Linked DNA regions of Alligator mississippiensis. The protein of the gene in region 2 purifies or fractionates together with the protein of the main gene of each other region. This does not show direct contact. Links are inferred from orthologs where the notes say so. Each region holds a gene or a part of one and is shown on either strand. Other genes may lie near its edges.

What was found.
Region 1: the proteins of CDC27 (region 2) and PLK1 purify together in Homo sapiens (affinity purification with mass spectrometry; 4 studies listed by BioGRID and IntAct, with this or other methods). This does not show direct contact. The link is inferred for Alligator mississippiensis from reciprocal best matches to the Homo sapiens genes CDC27 and PLK1.
Region 3: the proteins of CDC27 (region 2) and MAD2L1 purify together in Homo sapiens (affinity purification with western blotting; 29 studies listed by BioGRID and IntAct, with this or other methods). This does not show direct contact. The link is inferred for Alligator mississippiensis from reciprocal best matches to the Homo sapiens genes CDC27 and MAD2L1.

Annotation. Positions count from the first base shown.
Region 1 is NC_081836.1:58,699,414-58,703,158, reverse strand, and holds the start of PLK1 (serine/threonine-protein kinase PLK1), read right to left. Parts: upstream 2,697-3,745; 5' UTR 2,584-2,696; coding exon 2,164-2,583; intron 1,890-2,163; coding exon 1,721-1,889; intron 1,376-1,720; coding exon 1,231-1,375; intron 944-1,230; coding exon 850-943; intron 489-849; coding exon 269-488; intron 1-268. UniProt on the Homo sapiens protein: Serine/threonine-protein kinase that performs several important functions throughout M phase of the cell cycle, including the regulation of centrosome maturation and spindle assembly, the removal of cohesins from chromosome arms, the inactivation of anaphase-promoting complex/cyclosome (APC/C) inhibitors, and the regulation of mitotic exit and cytokinesis.
Region 2 is NC_081827.1:158,874,690-158,878,434, forward strand, and holds the start of CDC27 (cell division cycle protein 27 homolog), read left to right. Parts: upstream 1-810; 5' UTR 811-964; coding exon 965-991; intron 992-3,745. UniProt on the Homo sapiens protein: Component of the anaphase promoting complex/cyclosome (APC/C), a cell cycle-regulated E3 ubiquitin ligase that controls progression through mitosis and the G1 phase of the cell cycle.
Region 3 is NC_081825.1:120,208,836-120,212,580, forward strand, and holds the start of MAD2L1 (mitotic spindle assembly checkpoint protein MAD2A), read left to right. Parts: upstream 1-1,178; 5' UTR 1,179-1,251; coding exon 1,252-1,324; intron 1,325-1,546; coding exon 1,547-1,693; intron 1,694-2,583; coding exon 2,584-2,704; intron 2,705-3,463; coding exon 3,464-3,567; intron 3,568-3,745. UniProt on the Homo sapiens protein: Component of the spindle-assembly checkpoint that prevents the onset of anaphase until all chromosomes are properly aligned at the metaphase plate.

The DNA.
Region 1 (3,745 bases), on a different chromosome or scaffold from region 2:
CTGTCGGGGTGCCACGGGGCAGGGTGAGCCCCTTGGTACTGTCTGACAAGAGCTCAAGGAGCTGGGCTCTCCGCTAGGGGGTCAGTTATTGCTCCTGTGGAGGGAAGGGCAGCACCAGACTGCCACGAACCCCAGACCTCCGTGCAAGCTCATCAGTGGTTCTGGCTGTCATCTGTAGCTTGCTCTTAGCCCTGGACAGACACCGTTTGCCCTGCACGTGGCATTTCTAGGCCCTGAACACTCCCTCCTTTGCCATGCAGGGCCCCACCTTTGTTAAGTGCAGTAAGGGGCTTCCGCCCGTTTGCGTCGAGGGCAGTGGGAGTGATGGAAAACCTCGGCGGGACAGTGAGACAGGTGGTGGGCAGGCGGGCGGGGATGTAACCCGACGTGAAGAACTCGTCATTCAGCAACTCGTCAATGGTGGGGCGGGTGGCAGGGTCTGACCTCAGCATCTTCTGGATGAGGCTAGCAGCTACCGGGTTGATGTGCTGAAAGAGGAGACCGGCAGTTTGTGGCTGGAAGGGACCGGTGTGCTTCTGTACTAGTGGAAGGGCCAAACCCCCCAACATGCAGGGCTTTCCTGCTCCAAACAGAGCCATGGAGAGACCAGGGCACGAGCCCGGAGGAGCTGAGGATGGCAAGATATAGCTAGCTCTCCTGTGAGGCTCAGTGCTATGATGGACTAGCCTGGTGGACAGCAGCGGAGGAGCCAGAGACCCAGGGCCCCTCCCAGGAGCGTGCACAGGGTGCTAGGAACCATTTCACAGCAAGCAAGAGAGTTTGGCTTGCGCCCCACCCTGGCATCCCTGCTGGAGAGGGAGCACGGGCCCTCCAGCAGGCCCCACCTACCTTTGGGATGGTGTACTCATTCTTCTTGATACGGATGTACGTCTCTTTTAGGCAAGAGGTTTCAAATGGCGGCTTCCCCACTAGCAGTGTGTACCTGCGTACGGAGGAGAGAGCGGCCTGTCACGGGTTCATGCAAGAGAGTTCAGGAGGCTGCAGGACTTATGCCCCAGAGGTAACCCCCAATCTGTAGTGAAGCGCTGGAACAGGCTCCCCAGAGAGGTGGTGCAGTCTCCGTCCTCGGGAGTGTTTAAGCACCAGCTAGACAAAGCCTTGGCTGGGATGATGCAGCTGGGGCTGGTCCTGCTTGGAGCAGGGGTTGGACTAGATGCGACTTCCCGAGGTCCCATCCCACCCTCACGTCCTACGATCCTATGAACTCACATGATGCAGCCGATGGACCAGATGTCCACTTCAAAGCTGTGCCCCTTCTTGCCCAGCACTTCGGGTGCAATGTAGTTTGGTGTACCACACAGGGTCTTCTTGCGCTCCCCGTCGTACTCTACCCTGGTGGCCAGCCCAAAGTCGCCTTAAAGATTCAGACAGAAGAGAATTTGCTTGCATCGGCTTAACTTCAGGCTCAGCTGTTGCCTGTGGATGTCGAGGGCCGCGGCGTGCCCTGCTGAGCCACCTGCGTGGACCTGCAGCAACACCCTCCCAAGACCCCATCTCGAGTGCCTGGTGGAGTTTGCTCCTGGACAGAGGGACGTGCTTGCCCAGGGTTGGGGTGAGAGGCTGCTGTTCCGCTTCACAGTGGCAGAAGCTACTGATTTACCCCTTTACCCCAGCTGCACACGGACACGGGAGGGAGGGACCCCAGGGCTCCGACAGCTCCAGGAAGAACCCGTGCCCCGCAGGGCGGGGAGGCCTGTACCTATTTTCACCTCCATGTCGTCATTGAGGAACAGGTTGCCCAACTTGAGGTCGCGGTGAATCACGCGGTTGCTGTGCAGGTACTGGCAGCCCAGGATGGTTTGCCGCAGGTAGTACCGCGCCTCGGGCTCCGTCAGCGCCTTCCTCCGCTTGTGCAGCTCCAGCAGCGACTGGGCAAGGGGGAGAAGGAGCGTGGAGGGGAGCGTGAGCACCAGCTACCAGCCCGCCTCCCCCCGGCCCCTTTAAGGCCCGCGGAACGTTCGTACACCCGCGCGGAACGCTCGGACTCGCCCGCGGAACGTTCGTACACCCGCGTGGAACGCTCGGACTCGCCCGCGGAACGTTCGGACCCCCGCGCGGAACGTTCAGACCCCCGCGCGGAACGCTCGCTCGGCATGGGCGGTTCCCGCCGGGCCCCGCGCCCGCGCCCGCGCCCGCGCTGACCCGGCGGCGGCAGAGCTCGAGCACGACGAAGACGAAGTCGCTGTCCTCGAAGAAGCCCTGGAAGCCGACGACGTGGCGGTGCGCCAGGCTGCGGTGGATGGCGATCTCCATGGACATCTTCTCCTTCTGGTGCGGCTTGGCCAGCAGCGCCTTGGGCACGATCTTGCCGGCGAACACCTCCTTGCTCTCCAGCTCCGTGATCTCGTAGCACTTGGCGAAGCCGCCCTTGCCCAGGAAGCGCCCGCGCACGTAGCTGCGCCGCGACCGCGGGTCGGCCAGCACCTTCGGGATCTCCTTGGCCCCGGCGGCCGCAGGCCCCCCGGCCGCCCCCGCCCCGGGCCCCGCCGCCGCCGCCGCCGCCGCCTTCCCCGGCTCCGCCGCGCCGGGCGGCCGCGTCCCCTTGGCGGACACCGCGCTCATGCTGCCGCTCTGCTCCGCGCCTCCTCTGCCTCTGCCTCTGCCACTGCCGCCCCGCTGCCCCCGGCCCCGTCCCCCGTCCCGCGGCCCCGGCCCGAGCTGCGCGGCGGCGGCAGCGGCGGCACCGATTTGAAACCCGGGGCCGGAGCGTTACGAACCCGCGCGCACGGATTGGCTGCTACGATTTAAAATCCAAGCCGCCCGCCGCAAGGCACCATGGGAGCGCTTCGCCTCGCCCCGCCCCTTTTTAAAGAGACAGGCGCGGCGGTGCGCGCCTGTCCCGGGGGCACTGCCCCTGCAGGTTTAGTCCCGGTTCCTTTTCCTAAACGAATCTAGACCCAATAAATTAATGAATGACACATCCTCAAGAGAGAGACTTTCATCAGCTGAGCCTATAGGAAGTTCCGGCTGGCAGGGCGCTCAGGCGGTCACCTCTAGTCCAGCCCCTGCTCCGAGCAGGACCAGCCCCACCTACATCACCCCGGCCAGGGCTTAAAGACGATAGAGACCCCACCACCTCCCTGGGGAACCCGCTCCAGTGCTTCACCGCCCTCCGAGTGGGAGAGTCTCTCCTCGTATCCAACCTCAACCTCCCTCGCTGCAGCTGGAGCCCATTGCTCCTTGTCCTGCCATCTGCCCCACTGAGACCAGCCCAGCTCCATCCTCTGTGCAGCCCCGGCAGGGAGGTGAAGGCTGCTATCAAATTCCCCGGTCTTCCCTTCCCCAGACTCAATCAGCCCAGTTCCTTTAGCCTCTCCTTAAAAGCCATAATTAATATGTAAAATAATATCATGTATCAAGTACAGAGCCTCATCCCAGATGAGGATGGGATTAGGGGGCAAAATACTTCTTGGGCCACCCCACACTTCCCATCCATGCCACCGAGGCACTGTCCCAAAGACCCTGAGCACAGCTCTGCCCAAAGCACGGCTTGGCCCTGCCCCCTGCCAGCCCCATAGCCGAGAACTAAGTATATTGGATTGGGTAAAGAACCGGGTTTCGGGCTGGGATTGCGGCTGGAAATCCTCCTCGGGCCACCCCACGCTGTGACTGTACCCCTGGGGGACTCTCCCAGACACCCCCGACCAGGGTCTAGCCTGGCCCAAAGCGCGGCTCGGCCTCGCGGGGCTGCCCCTAAATGTCCTCTCTTTATGGATGTGTAATT
Region 2 (3,745 bases):
CCGCCATCACCACGGCCACCTGTAGGTGGTCCCCGCCTGCTGCCACCACATCCCCACCCCCACCGCCTGCGGGTGGTCACCGTGCCCCCTCAGCCTCATGCCCGGGGTTGACCCCCGAGCCTGCTGCCAGCCCAGGGCCAAGCACCCCTGGCACAGCCCAAACTGCTGCGGTCCTAGGCGCACATGTAGATGCTGTACCACGCAGCCGTTAACTCCGGAGGGAACTGCACCAGAGGTTAAGGCACCACATGAATTGCGGTTAGTTAGCACTGATGTTAGGTAAGGTGTGCAAACAGGAGTCATAAGATAAAGCTGGAGATTCAGCACAGGAATCCGCCGTGGTGGCGCTTCTTGGATCCTCGCAAGAGGCAAACTGCCCGGTGCTCTTTCCCTAGTCAAACAAGAGTGAAAAGGGAGAACCGGCGTTTCCCGGGGGTGTGCTTCAGCCTGCCCAGGCCAGCCTCGGGTCCGAAAGAGCAGAGACCAGCCGCCGCCCTCCGCGCTGGACCCGGCCTCGGCCCGCAGTCGCTGCACCAAGCAGGGCGGGCGCTGCCCGCGGCCCGCAGTGGCTCAGGCCGACCGCCAGGGGGCGCCGCCGCCGAGACTCCGGCGCAAGGAGAGGGCGGTGGCGGAGGCGGCGCTCGGGCAGCTCCGCGAGCTCGGCCAGCACTCGGCTATTTCCGCGGCTGCTCGGGGCCCCCCCTGTGCGGGCCCCCCCCTCGGGCTCGGGCCTCGGCTGCTTCCGCCCCCGCTCGGGCATTTCCGCTCCCCTTCGGCTCTTCCCGCCGCCGCTCGGGCGGACTCGGCGCCCGGCCTCCCTCCCTCCTCCCGGCGGCCTGCCCCGGTAACGGTCGCTGGGAGTTTAAATGAGCAGGGGCCGGGCCGGGCCCAGCCGCCGCCGGGACACGCGCCGAGGCTGAGGCGAAGCCGGGGCCGAGGCCGCGCCGGGCGCCGCGGGGGCAGGATGACGGTGCTGCAGGAACCCGTCCAGGTACCGCGCGCCCGGCTTCACCGCCGCGGCCTAGCGGGGCCCGGCCCTTCGCCGCCCGGGCCCGCCGCAGGGCTGCCCCCGCCCCGCCCCGCCCCGCCCCGGGGGGACTTGTTGATTCCTCCTTTTGTCTCCGTGGCCCGGTCCCCGCTGCGGGCACGGCCCAGCCTCGGGCCCCGCGGGCGCTGGGAGGCCCCAAGGCCCGGAGCAGGAAGTCGCTTCAAGTTTGATTTTTTTTATTCCTTTTTTGCCCCTCCGGCTCTGTCCAGCAGCTCTGCCGCAGGGCTTCCCCTCCCAAGCAGGGCGCTCCCAGAACACAGGACTTGTTCCTTCTTCCCCACTTCCCATGTCATCTCCCCCATCTTGCTTTAACCCTCCTCCAGGCCTGTCCCAGCTGCCTTCCTCCTTTCTTTCCCCACCTCTTCAGCTCCTGTTTTTGCAAAGAGCAGCCTGCAGCCGCAAGCAGAACAGAAACGAGCACGAGCTCACGCACTGGGCATGGGTGACTTCCTGTGGGAGATGACCTCTGCTCCACCGAGTTCACGTGCCCCGGGCGATGCCTGTGGCGATGGTGCTCTTGTGAACAGCGCGCTGGTATTCTCCACGCTATGGCTGTAGCTCTGAAAATGCTTCCAGCCACCTAGCCATCTTTGGCATCAGGTCTGTGGCTGTAGCTGTTGCAAAGCATGGCAGAGCCCACCTGACATGGGAGTCTGTGTGAAAAGGAAGCGAGCACTTGCTTCTGCAGTGAAAGGGTGCAAATAATATCTAACACAGCAACTCAAGTGGGATAAACCTTCACCACTCATCTGAATATGGCAGCATCCCTGGTTGCTGCTTCGGTTTACCCCAGTACTTCTCAGCCAGGTGCTGCTGCTGTGGCCGCCATCCTGGAAACGGAGGCAGCAGGTTGAATGCTCCCATGTACCCTGTTTCAGGAAGTGTGTGGTGGGGGACCCAGACTGGGAAGGGCCCAAGCAAGAAGGCAGGAGCTAGATGGAGGCTGATAAGAGAGCCTTAATGCAGCAGGAGTGCACGTTTGCCACAGCTCTGCATTCAGGGCAGTTTTATCTGACTGCCATAGTGCAGACAACACCTGCGTTGAGGGCCAGGTTGAAAACCACTGATCTAACACTTCCACAAATGCCTGTAAGCAGCATCTCTGTTATCCTAATTAGATTAGCTAGGTGAAAAACAGTTGCTGTGCTGAGATTTCCCTGGCAGAGATGTGGAGTATTTTATTTGAGCAGCATTAATGGGTTCTTGAAATACGCAGATACTTCTACGGTCTTCTCTTCCAGTTTCAGCCCCTTCCCAAATTGGATATGCTTTTGATCGGGCTCTGCTTTGTGATCACACACACCCATTTGGGTTCTGCATGCTTGATGTATCCAAAAAAAGAAAAAGAAACCCTTTATTTTTCCTTTAGGTCTGAAGAGACTGATATGTTTGCGCATTTATATGTTATGGTTCTATCTGCACTTATAATACATGACCATGATTTGTCACTATCTTGGTCCAACTGTGGTTGCAGCGGTGTAAACTGTATCTTGGCTCATTTTAAACATTGCATGATAAGGTCGTAACCATACTTGGGTTCTCTTTTTATGCTACAGATTTCACCATTGCTACCATCTCTATTCTCTTGGTAATGTCAACGAAATGTGTCAGCCTTGATCATCTGTAGTCATGGGGTGTTTCTGTGCCACGGTTATGAACCATTAAATGAAAAGGGCACTGGTGAAGTAATACTTGATACCAAAACAAATTCCATGCCTTCATCCAAAAAAACTGTCACCTTTAGAATTATCAACATGACAGTGCTTTGTAGAGATTATTATTTACATAGTGCTTAGTATGTTGGCATTTTAAAACTATGTAAGATGACTGTTACCTGCCCTGAAAAGTTTCTATTTCAACATTCAGATGTTGCTACTTTTGCAAGGGGTATAGGTGGCAGAGTCTAGTCTTAAATAGACAACATGGCATTTTATGCTCCTAAGGAAGTAATCTGAAACTTCTGAACCTTAAATACTAATGCCATATCCCGTATGTTAGCAAGTTACGTGTATGCATCTCTGAAGCCAAAGGTTTTCTGAAATAGTGCTTAAGTTTCCATGACACTTCAATTCCACTGCTTTGATCATTTTGAGAAGCTGATATGAATTGCCATTACCAGCTCTAATGATGCACAGGTTTGATAGCATTGTTTGATGTTATGGTTGAAAACATGATAAAAACAGCAATGTACAGTAATGGCTAGTAAAAGTTTGCTGTTCAGTAGGAATAAAATGGTGTGAATCCATTGTACAGACTTGAGTTCTAGGACAGGCTTAGTTTTCTAATGATCTTCCATAAAAGGTTATGGGAATTGCTCACCCCACCCAAACTCCCAGTTAGCCTATTTTAGGATTTTACCTAACTCTCTATATTAGGTGTTATATTTTGGTTTATTCCCAGTATAGAGGGAAAATGACAGATGATACAGATACAGAAGGTAGACTAGTTCTACTATTATTCTACATTGGAGTATATTTTGCTTTGTAAATGCCCCAACGCACCTGATTGCAGCAGCAATTCTAGTCTCTATGGCATAGGTGCTCTTTGTCTCCCTGGAGTACTGGTACAACCACAATGTTGAGATTGCTGTAGTGGAGAGATGCATTAGACTGGTTCTTTCAATGCCACTGTTCAGACACTGAAACAAATGAAACAGCTGTGTAATCCATGTTCCTGTTAATGTTTCTATCTTGCAGA
Region 3 (3,745 bases), on a different chromosome or scaffold from region 2:
GAAACAAACACAAAGTAAGTGTATTCTAACCACTTCAGAAAACTCCCTTGAAGAATACTTATTCCCTCCCCAACCCCTGCGCAGACACACATTCAAAGGAATTTTAGTACATTGACTTTGAGTCATTGAGCTTACCTTTCATACTTATAAATTATATTAGAGGATATTTTTTTCAGTTTACTCAATGGCTCTTTATTTGCTATTGTGTAGGATAGAAACTACAGCTTGCCTCATTCAAGGCTTGAACAAATCTGTTCCTCCATAGCCGTATTTTCTTGTTGAGCTTTTTGTGGCATCCTACCTACCCTTTGGTGGTCTCTTAAATGGAAGGCAGGGTAGACATGCACCTTATAAACTAATTAAATCAGAGATGCATAAGCTTTTATGAGACGGAGTACACTTCATCATATACTGTGAAAGGAGACCACAGAGCAGTCTATCAAACAGAAGTGATACACCTTCTCTATGGTCTGGCCACATTATGTTCTTCTACTCCAATTTGAAGTGTCTCCTCAAAAGCCTTGTGCTTTGCTACTCACAAGGAATCCTGTTCTGTTGGTGTCCTGTCCTGTTTGCCAGGATCAATGGAGCCACACGCAGTCACTCAACAAGTTACTATAGGCAGAAGACTGGGGTCACAACCGAGTATGCCTTGCAGTCCAAGGCCTCAGGCCAAGGGTTAAGGCAGTAAAGTGGCCAGGGCAGATGGGAGATCAGAGCCGAAAGGTCCAAACACAGCAGGGTCAGAAACAATGGCATGGCTAGGATCAGGCAGAAGCAAACAGGAGAAGGGAAAAAGTCAGGCAAGAACAAGGTAAATGTCCAAGAAACGCATACACAGAGCACTGTTATTGCGAAACACGCACATACTTCATACAATATGCATGCACACTTTCCCCCGTTATTGCTAGGGACAAGTCCTAACTCTACGCTTCCAAGCACTCTTGCCCTAGCCACTCCAGGGCGGCACTAGAGAACGCTCCCTCAAATGCCAACCCCGCGCGCTGCGTGCCGATCTCTGAAGCGAGACCCCCGCAAGCCAATGGAAGGGCACCCAGCCGGTTCGCTCCGCCCACAAGGGGAAGAGGAACCTGTCGCGCATGCGCAGCGAGGCGAAAAAAACCCTGCGCATGCGCTGGAGAGAAAGGCATAAGCGTGAGCGGCGGCGACTTGCCGGGCGTGTGCGCATGCGAGAGTACAGCGTCTCGGGGGCGGGGCCCAGTTTGAAGCGGGTGGCGGGGACGTGCGCCCATGGCCAAGCAGCAGAGCCGGGAGCAGGGCATCACCCTGCGGGGCAGCGCCGACATCGTTGCCGAGTTCTTCTGTGAGGAGCCCCCGGGGCCGGGAGGGAAGAGCGGGCGTCAGTGCCCGCGCGGGAGGGGTGGGGGAAGCATCGGGACGCTCCGGTGCCCCCCCCCGGCGCCATGTTGGATCTCGCGGGGGGAGGGGCAGAGCCAGGCCGCGCCTGCGCAGTAGTGGGAGAGGGGTCGGTCACCTGCTCACCTGTCCTCCCCCCCCCATGTCTCCTCCGGCGCATGCGCGGCAGCTTACGGCATCAACAGCATCCTGTACCAGCGCGGCATCTACCCGCCCGAGACCTTCACCCGCGCGCAGCAGTACGGCCTCACGCTGCTCGTCACCTCCGACCCCGAGCTGCAGCGCTACCTGGGCAGCGTCGTGGACCAGCTCAAAGGTTGGGGGGGGGCAGGGAACGGGGTAGACTCCGGGCGGGGCCGGCCCGAGCTTTGCTGCCATCTCACCCGCTGGGCCCTTGTTCCTGGCTTGCATTTGCAACCTCAGCTCAGTGCACTAAACAGTTGCGAGTCTGGTTTGTTTCCCAAGCTTGGGCACTGCGAAGATGAGCTTTGAGAAGGTGCCCAGGGTGAAGGAGCTGACGTTTCTCGCCCGCATTGCATCAGCAAGGCAGGTGAAATAGAAATGCCCCCCATAGCAGGAGTGGGATTTGTGTCCATTCAGGGGTTTGGAGCAGGTCACACAAGGAGCCATGGCTAAAAACAAGAGGTCGGGTTTCTCGTTGGTTAGACCAGGATTTGACAGGCTGAAAACGGATAATGGGTTTAATTTGGGGCTGGTTAGCCTGACTTGAACCAGGCGTTGAAAACACCTTTGTAAGGTTTGCTGGGAGTCACAAAGCTCAAATCTCCCCATCTGCAATTCCAGGGCAGCTCCAATGACTTGCCAATTAAGCTGCCTGGGTAAGGGCTGTCCTGTGCCTGTTTTGAAGCAGGACCAAGGTCTGTTTTTACCTAGTTGGTCTTTTTGTTCCAGGTTTTGACTCGCGTCAGTTAGGACCAGCCTAAATCTGGGTTTAAAAATCCCATTCATCCTGCCCTTTAAGTTTGACCTTCTCCCTCACTGACACTTACCTTTCTTACTCTGACTTTTTGATTAACTGCTGAGTTAACTTTAAATTGAGGGTCCTCAGTATCACTATTTTGCTTTGTAAACTGCCCAAGTATTAATGCAGGGCTGACAAAGGCTCCTCTACTTAAGTGCTGCCTTTTGCTGGTTTAGAGGGTCTCCTTTTTTTCTGATATGTTTTTCTCCTTCTCCTCTTTCCAGACTGGCTGTACAAGTGTTCAGTACAGCGCCTGGTGGTGGTCATCTCTAGTATTGAAAGCAACGAGGTCCTTGAGCGGTGGCAGTTTGACATAGAGTGTGACAAAACTGCAAAAGATGAGAGGTAAATGTAATGAACTGCACCATTGCAAAGCTGTTAGTTCTTACAAGCCCTTCCTGCTGGCCCCTCTGACAGACAGTTAATGCAGGTGTGAGCTCCTTGGTTCATATATTGAAGTGCCAGAGTGAATGCATTTTCTTTGCACTTTTGTTTCAAGATGATCCATGTCAATTTCTTAAAGCATCTGGGTGGTGGGGAGACATGTCTCTGAGGGTAATTATACTTCACTAGTAAATGTTCTGTATGTTTTAAACCAAATGAAACAATTTGACCTTGGATGCATGTGTAATTCATACCTGCAGTGCAAGCCACTAACAATGGAATTTTTTGTTTTTTTGTTTTTGTTTTTGTTTTTTTTTGTGGTGGGAACCTTTTCAGTATTATAAAATTATTAATTTATTTAACTGCTCCTCTGCTTACATCATGCTTCTTCTATTTGGTATTAGTTGCTTTGCTAGGAACATTATCATATTAACTCAAAATTGCAGGGAAATTCAGAGCAGTGCTTAAAACTACAAACACTGTGTAACACCACACAGAGCAGTATTGAACTAAAATTTAAAAAAAACTTTGACTGAATTTTCAAATCCTTATTATCCAGACTGTTTTGTTACACTGTTTATCCCATTGAGACTTCCGGTTCTTGAAACAGAAACTGTTTCACAACTTATGCTAAAGATAAAGCTATATTTGGAGAAACTTTCCAGTATAACAAAAGCCTCCTTTCTTCTCTGTTAAAAGAACTTCTTGTTTCTGTTGTAGCGCACCAAGGGAGAAGTCTCAGAAAGCTATTCAGGATGAAATTCGATCTGTTATCAGACAGATAACTGCCACTGTAACTTTTCTGCCTTTATTGGAAACCTCTTGTGAGTAGTCTGAATTTTTGTATTTACTCAGGCCTGAGTGAACAACTCCATCCCTGACATGAGATTGCCAGCTTCCAATCTGAATAATATACTATGTATATATTTAAATACTAAGCACTCCTGCTTTTTGAAGCCAAGGATATTAAAAAAATAACACTTGAGTAGAGTTCTTCAACTG